2 linked regions of the Canis lupus familiaris genome follow. The main gene of each other region encodes a partner of the protein of the gene in region 2 in a complex. Links are inferred from orthologs where the notes say so. Each region holds a gene or a part of one and is shown on either strand. Other genes may lie near its edges.

Region 1 (3,900 bases), on a different chromosome or scaffold from region 2:
CAAAGAGAAGGCAGGTTTTCTAAGATAAGAGAACAAATGTCACTAGCATGGTACCAAAATAGTGGTCAAGATCCTCATGACACGGCTAACCTTCAGCTACTGGGAATGAGAAGGGAGGGCACCTAGCTTCCATGAGCACAAATACCTACAAGGCAAGTTCTGTGAGCCAAAATGGAAAGACAAGTTAAAAATGGAAAGGCAAGTTCTGGGACACCTGGGTGGCTCTGTTTGTTACGTGTCCAACTCTTAATTTCAGCACAGGTCATGATCTCAGGGTCATGGGATCCAGCCTTGCATCCAGCTCTGAGCTTGCAGCAGAATTGGTTTGTTACTCTCCTTCTGCTTCTCTCCCCCACCGTCTCAAATAAATAAAAATCTCAAAAATAAATAAATACAAGAATCACGTAAGTTGTATGGATTGAGGATGGAGGTGGTGGCAACAAAAAAAAGAAACTCAACTGTGGCTGAAATGTCACATTTCCTTAAAAAAAAAAAAAAAAAAGCCCCAAAGCATAAAGAAATATTATTATTTGATAGTCTCAAAGTATGGTACAACTGTTACAGTTCCCTGCTCTTCTTTGCATCATTAAAATATTTCACTAGAAGTGGGGTACCTGGGTGGCTCAGCTGGTTAAGCATCTGCCTTCAGGGCTGGTTGTGATCCCAAGGTGCTGGGGTCAGGCCCCATCCCAGCCCCAGCCTGCTCCCTGCTCAGATGGCAGCCTGCTTCTTCCTCTGCCCCTCCTCCTACTTGTGCAGGTGCACGTGCCTGTGCTCTTCCTCAAATAAATAAATCTTTAATAAAATTTTTAAAAATGAAATATTTAAATAAAAGAAAAAATTCACGGGACTATTACTAAGATAATGGATACGTTTAGATATACACTTAATGAATGTTTGTTTCAAAGACCTTAACTTCTTTTTTTAAATATCAGCTCATGAAATAGAGAAAAGATTTCAAAGAGTTGGGAAAGAGGAGGGTGCACAAGGAGGAGGCCTCTGCCCTGGAGTAAAGAACTGTAAAGAGCAGGCAAGGAGCTCAGTCCTAGAAATGAGGAGAGAGAGGAGCAGACACAGCCCGAGGTCTCTGCACTCCCCCTTTGGACCCAGAGTCAAGCCTCAGCGGACAGGTTGCGAGCTGGGTATCTGCCGCCTACTTTGAATACATCACCTCCTTCGACGGTCACCACAAAAGGACACACAATCTTAAAAATGAGAAGGGAGACAGGGGTTGGATCACGGTCTGACGGCAAGCACGCGCCTGATTTACCTTCCTAAGAATGCTGGTGGCCTCTGAAAACGTCAGGCCTCCGCTGTCCTTCCCTTGTCACCCTGCGCGTCCCTGCAGGTAGGAAGTCGAGTCTCTGAGAGCACCGCTCGGGGCCTGCCGCTGGCTTGAAGCTCCCCTCCAGGGCCCGGCCCCTGACCCCACGGGGCTCCCCGGCGCGCCGGGCCCTCCGCAGCCTCGAGTCGTTCCGCGGGCGCCCTGCCCACCCCTGCTCTACCGGCCGGGGCGACTCCCAAGCCCAGCCCAGCACCGGTCCCGGCGCGGAGGGGAGGCACCGGCTCCTCCCCCGCGCTGCTGCTGCCCACAGCGCCGACGGCTCCCCTCCTCCATCCAATCCGGGATAAGAAACGTCGGAAGTGAGCTAAGAACGAGGCCGCGAGGCCGCCGCCTTCCCTCGAGGCCTCCGTCGGCAGGTCCTAGGCGCTGGACCAGAGACCACGCCACAGGCCTCATCCCGGCGCCAGGCGCTTCGCACCCGCCCGCCCGCCCGCCCGCCCGCCGGGTCCTCGGCCCGGACCTGCCGCACTGCCCCGGCTTCCCCCGCGACGGAGCCCGCCGCCAAGCGCCGGGCACGGCGTACTGACCTGGGGCGGCGCCGCCAGCACAGCACAGGGACGCGGCGGGGCCCGGCCGAGCGCCGACGACGCGGACGGGCGGGGATGCACGCGGGAGGCGTCTCCGGAGCCCCCGGGCCGGGCCTGCGGTCGTCGGCCTGCGGGCCGCGGGGGACGCTGGGGGCCTCTGGGGGCCTCCCTGCGCGGCGGGGGCCGGGGTCGGCGCCGGGGTCGGCGTCTCCCGGCCCGCGTGGGCGGCGGCTCGCCCCGCACGGCCCCCGGCTCCACGGAGGTCGCAGGGCGGGCCTGCCCAGGCTGGAGGTCCTCCGCCGCTCGCTTCAGGGAGGGCCGGGAGCGCCGCCCTCTGCCACCCTTCTTCCCGGACCCACCAGGGTCGTCGAGACCCCTGAGCCCGGCCGGGGACCCGCAGCCGCCTCCGCAGCCGCCCTCCGCAGCCTCCCGCGCGCGGCCCGCCCCGCGCTGCGCAGACGCCGGTGCCCGCGGCTCCGCCCCCTCCCGCCTCCGCTTGACAGGCAGCTGTGTCAGCCAACCGGACGGAGGACCTGGAGGCTGGCCCCGCCCAGGTGTGGCGCAAAGGACACGGTGGCTTCCGGGAGAGGCGCTTTCCCAGAAGGCCACAGAAAATCAGCGGTCGGGTTTTCATTGGCTTAACTAGGCATAGGACCCGGTCCGATTGGTCACGTGGGTTTCTTGATTGGATGAAATATCCCAGGTCCCGCCCCCGGAGCAAGAACCGGGAGAGGTGTGTCCCGCGCAGTGGAGGCCGCCGGACTGGAGAGGATGGGGAGGAGTCTGTGCGGCGACCTCAGGTTCTTGCCCTATGACCTCCATTCACCTGCAGTCGGGGAAATTCTATTAATAGACGACTTGATGCTATCTCGGAAAGCCAGCACTAGAAGCAGGCAGTGACCCACGGAGGCTTTCACACAGGCACGGCAGGTGGGGCGCCGGGAACACGGACTCCGCCGAGCCCCTGGGGAGCTCTGCCTGAGGAGGGCTCTCGGCTGGGTGCTCCCCCCACCACGTGGAGCTCGCCCGAGGAGGGGTCTCGGCTGGGTGCTCCTCCCCACCACGTGGAGCTCTGCCCGAGGAGGGGTCTCGGCTGGGTGCTCCTCCCCACCACGTGGAGCTCGCCCGAGGAGGGGTCTCGGCTGGGTGCTCCCCCCCACCACGTGGAGCTCTGCCCGAGGAGGGGTCTCGGCTGGGTGCTCCCCCCCACCACGTGGAGCTCTGCCCGAGGAGGGGTCTCGGCTGGGTGCTCCTCCTCACCACGTGGAGCTCTGCCCGAGGAGGTGTCTCGGCTGGGTGCTCCCCCCACCACCACGTGCAGCTCTGCCGGAGGAGGGGTCTCGGCTGGGTGCTCCCCCCCCCACCACGTGCAGCTCTGCCCGAGGAGGGCTCTCGGCTGGGTGCTCCCCCCACCACGTGGAGCTCTGCCCGAGGAGGGGCCTCGGCTGGGTGCTCCTCCTCACCACGTGGAGCTCGCCCGAGGAGGGGTCTCGGCTGGGTGCTCCCCCCCACCACGTGGAGCTCTGCCCGAGGAGGGCTCTCGGCTGGGTGCTCCCCCCACCACGTGGAGCTCGCCCGAGGAGGGGTCTCGTCTGGGTGCTCCCCCCCACCACGTGCAGCTCTGCCCGAGGAGGGGTCTCGGCTGGGTGCTCCCCCCCCCACCACGTGCAGCTCTGCCCGAGGAGGGCTCTCGGCTGGGTGCTCCCCCCACCACGTGCAGCTCTGCCCGAGGAGGGGTCTCGGCTGGGTGCTCCTCCCCACCACGTGGAGCTCGCCCGAGGAGGGCTCTCGGCTGGGTGCTCCCCCCCACCACGTGGAGCTCTGCCCGAGGAGGGGTCTCGGCTGGGTGCTCCCCCCCACCACGTGGAGCTCTGCCCGAGGAGGGGTCTCGGCTGGGTGCTCCTCCCCACCACGTGGAGCTCGCCCGAGGAGGGCTCTCGGCTGGGTGCTCCCCCCACCACGTGGAGCTCTGCCCGAGGAGGGGTCTCGGCTGGGTGCTCCTCCCCACCACGTGCAGCTCTGCCCGAG
Region 2 (3,900 bases):
CTCTTCTTCCTCTCTCCACTACGTGAGGCAGGGGGCCCTGAGCCCCTCAGCTGCCTGCACAACCCCACCTTTGGCTGCTGGTGACTCTCAATCTGCCAAATGCGCTGCAGCCCATTTTCTCCCAATTACAGCAAGACTGTCAGCCTCATTAGCCATGTTGTCATTTCTGGGTGGGAGCGTCGAGGGCCTTCACAGCCTGTGGAGTGAGTGTGCTGCCTAGTACCAGAACTGCAAAGCTGGGCTGATGGCTCTGAGGGCCGAGCTTTGGGGTGGGTGCACACAGCTGCCTCTGGGCTGGGAACAACCAAGTGCAGCAGCGTTTCATTAGCATGGAAACGTCAGAGGGGGAAGCACTACCCCAGAATGGGTCCCTGATTGGTGCCAACTTCCAGGATCATCTCCAGTAGTACTTGTACCTGTTTCAGCTGCATCCTCTACCCAGCTGGCCCCCATTTTTCCTTGAACTGGATGACGCAGGAGCTCTGCCTGCTGCCGGGAGTGAAAGGTGAAGAACTGGTTTCCCAGCTCCAGCTGAGGCTCTTGGTCCACTCCAAGCCTCTCACCAAATCCAAGCCAGTGACAGGAGAATGAAGGAGAAACCTGCCTGCAACACCCACCCTCCAGGGAGATTAATACACTTCTGGGCCAGGAGCCACAACCACATCATTCTGAGATTACTGCGGTCCCCCCACATCTCACACACCCTAAAGGAATTTCAAGTTACAGAGAACCACCAGCATACTGAGAGCTGACCCTAGAACTTTGGCAGGCTGGAGAGGGGAAAAGGAAGGAGAACGTATGTCTTTTCTAGGCCAGCATTTTACTATTTCCTCTCTCCCTGGCCTCTGTTCAGCTGGTGGTCTCAGTTGCATCTCCACTGCCCAGCTGACAGTGAATGTATTTCCGGCACAGCACTTCAGGGGTGGGTGGGGAGGTTGTGAAGACAATTGCTTGCCAAAGCTGGATAAACGCACACTGTCAATTGACTTCTTGGAAGGATGCATAGGTTGGAAGTTCATTTATATCACAAGTGTTTGTGGAGTTATTGGCACATGCCAGGCCGAGTTCCTGAGCCAGGAGCTGGAGAAAAAAGGATGAATTAGTCAAGGTCCTTGCTCTCTCGGGGTTGACATTCTAGTTTTCTGTTGCCCGGCAATCTATAGACAAGAAAGGGTATCTATCCGGCGCTGGCAGAGGCCGGGCTGAGACTTCAGTACTGGCTGTGTGCGGCTAGGGCTCCGTGAACGGCCACTGACCACCCCGCTCCGGGAGAGTCGGGTCGCCCGCTGCTCGGAAGCCCTTCGTGTGCGGCCCCCTCCCGTGTTCCTCCCGGAGTCCCGGGCTGCGGCAGCCTGCTCTCGGCTCCGGCGCTCGCCCCGGAGGTGCTGGCGGAGCGACGGAACGGAGGGGGCAGGCGGCGGGGCGGGCCGACGCGGGGCGGGCTGGACGAGCGCGGGTCTCGGCAGGCCCGGGAGAGGCCGAGCCCCGCCCCCGGCGCGGCTGTGGCCCGGTGCGCACGCGCAGCGGCCGCGCTCCCCGGCGGCTCCGCCCACCACCGCGGACGTCGGCGGCGCGCGACGTAGTTCGCAGCATAAATGCGGCGGCGCCGGCGGTAGGAGCGCTTCGGCCCGGGCGCCCGGGTGTTCGCGCGTTCGGCGGAGTTCGGCCCGCGCCTGAGCCGGCCTCGCTTCTCGCTGCGCCATGGCGGACGAGGGGAAGGCCTACAACGGTCAGTGCTGGTCGTCAGGCGGGGGCGAGGCGATCGGGGGCCCGGTGGGCGGCGCCGGTGTAGGCCGCAGCCCCGCGGCGGGAGGGGCGGGAGGCGCGGGAGGCGCGGGAGGCGCGGGAGGGGCGGCGGCGCGGGAGGGGCGGGGGCGAGGCCGAGGCCGCCTGCGGGTCGGGCCGCACTCGAGCGGGGCGCCGGCCGTGTTGACGCGGGAATCGTGGCGTTGCGCGGAGCTTCGGCCCGGGGCTGCGGCCTGGCCGGGGGGGGGCGATTCCTTTGAACTTTGTGGGTGGTGATGCCTGTCAGTTGGATTTGGCGCCCGGACTCTGCCTTTAATAGGAGTCCGTGCCCGGCTCATCGGCTCCCTGTGTCGTTTCCCACCGCGTCCGGTCTCTTGTCCCGCGTCCCCTGCGGCCTTGGCTTTGGCTTTAGTATTCTAGACTTCCACACCGGTTCGCTGTGCTCGCCCGAACACTACGCACGGTTTTAGTCCGGAGGAGTGGTGAGGAGGAGCACATGACAGCCGGGTTGAGTCCTGAGTCGTCTTCCCCGAGCTTGAGGGAATTCCACTCCCAGGCCTCATTTTCTATCTCCGTAGGAGGTGGTGACCGTACTTACTTCCTGGGTTTGCCCTCCTGTTCAACGAGATCATTCGTATCAAGTGCCCGGGGCATAGTGCCTGGCACTGAAGAAAGTTCTCAGTGAATGTTTGCTGCGCCTTATATTCAGTTGTGGTGTTTTGTTTTGTTTTTTGCCCTCCCCCCCGCCCCCCGTCATTTCTTAAGGTTCATTGTTTGCAGAACACTAGGCATGAGGCGTTTGGGGAGTCAGGGACCTTTTTGTAAGATGCTATTCTTACACCCCAGGATTCAGAGGGTCATGTTCCAGGGGAGCAGTCCAGGACCCTTGGCTAAGCTCCCTAGTTGCCACTAGAACCTGAATCTTAGGAGTTGTCTCCTAAGTTAAAAAAGCATTTTTTGCCAAGGAAATAAACAGCTCATTCCCAAAAGTTCAGAGTGGCAGTTTGAGAACAAGAATTTTAAAGAAGCCCTTAATTTTATTTGTAACTGACGCTTGTACTCTGCGCAAGGGAAGCTTTGTTTACTGAGAGCTGATGTGATCGTCGTGATTGGTTGATTTAGGAGATGTTGAGCGAGGTCACCATCCAAGTTTTGAGAAGGCTTAAATAGATTTGGGAAACTAAGAGCAAGCAGATTTCAGGTGACTTTTCAGGGGTCTAGTTCCACACTGGGTCCATATTCTACTCACACTTCCACATTGTGCCTTTCCCGGTCTGTAAGTTCCAGTTCCTGAGTCCTTTTTCTAAAGCCCTGCCCTGTCTTCCAGTGATGTTTCGCTCCTGCTGCCATGCCACAGAGAGGGTTCTCCTCTCAACAGACAGAAGTTTGCATGGAGGTGGGCTCTGTAGTTGGTGTGTATCTCATTTGATAGCACAGGCTGCTTGCTACTGTGATTCCCACAGCAGGGTAGCTGGGCTGACAGCATGTTTCTAATGGATGTCCTTTTTAACCCCAGAGCATGATGACCGTGTTAGTTTCCCTCAAAGAAGAAAGAAAGGCCGGGGTCCTTTCCGGTGGAAGTATGGCGAGGGGAACCGGAGGTCTGGAAGAGGAGGTTCTGGCATTCGGTCTTCCCGCCTGGAGGAAGATGACAGAGATGTGGCAATGAGTGATGCCCAGGATGTTCCCCGAATACGACAGTAAGCGACCAATTGATCTGGTTTGAGAGCTCAAACCAGATTTATTTATATAGCTTTCTGCTGCCCACACCATTTCCCTTCTCACCTGGAAAAGTGAGGGATGTCAGGGCCAGTTTAATGGTTAAATAGTTTTAGCTATAATCCTGACAACAGTGTGGGAAGCCTTTGAGAAGACATTCCTAGTGTTTGCGGACATTTTATTCTCTGCTTCCCCACAGCAACCCCTATCCTCCCCGACCCAACCGTCGAGGTGACAGTTGGCATGATCGAGATCGCATTCATGTTACTGTGCGGAGAGACAGAATTCTTCCAGAGAGAGGAGGGGCTGGCACCAGCCAGGATGGGACCTCGAAGAACTGGTTTAAGATTACAGTGAGTGTCTGGGGTGCCTGGGTGGCTCAGTCAGTTTAGTGTCTGTCCTACACTTGATTTCATCTCAGGTCATGATCTCAAG

The links.
Region 1: the proteins of NXF1 (region 2) and NXT1 are in contact, whole or in part, in a crystal structure (PDB 4WYK), measured with the Homo sapiens proteins. The link is inferred for Canis lupus familiaris from reciprocal best matches to the Homo sapiens genes NXF1 and NXT1. Residues at the interface, in NP_006353.2 of Homo sapiens: Ala366, Pro367, Thr368, Thr369, Leu370, Pro371, Pro372, Cys373, Lys374, Gly375, Tyr377, His411, Gly413, Cys415, Cys416, Ser417, Leu418, Ser419, Ile420, Pro421, Phe422, Arg440, Asn441, Val442, Lys443, Lys444, Lys446, Pro448, Thr449, Arg451; in NP_037380.1 of Homo sapiens: Phe6, Lys7, Val10, Asp11, Cys14, Glu18, Thr44, Val46, Trp47, Asn48, Gly49, Asn50, Ala51, Phe61, Met64, Leu65, Pro66, Ile72, Ser73, Val74, Val75, Asp76, Cys77, Gln78, Pro79, Val80, His81, Glu83, Ala84, Thr85.

The regions. Positions count from the first base shown.
Region 1 is NC_049245.1:674,436-678,335, forward strand, and holds the start of NXT1 (NTF2-related export protein 1), read right to left. Parts: upstream 2,318-3,900; 5' UTR 1,873-2,317; intron 1,472-1,872; exon of another isoform or gene 1,343-1,471; 5' UTR 1,271-1,342; intron 635-1,270; exon of another isoform or gene 615-634; intron 1-614.
Region 2 is NC_049239.1:54,402,743-54,406,642, forward strand, and holds the start of NXF1 (nuclear RNA export factor 1), read left to right. Parts: upstream 1-1,568; 5' UTR 1,569-1,701; coding exon 1,702-1,729; intron 1,730-3,262; coding exon 3,263-3,446; intron 3,447-3,664; coding exon 3,665-3,818; intron 3,819-3,900.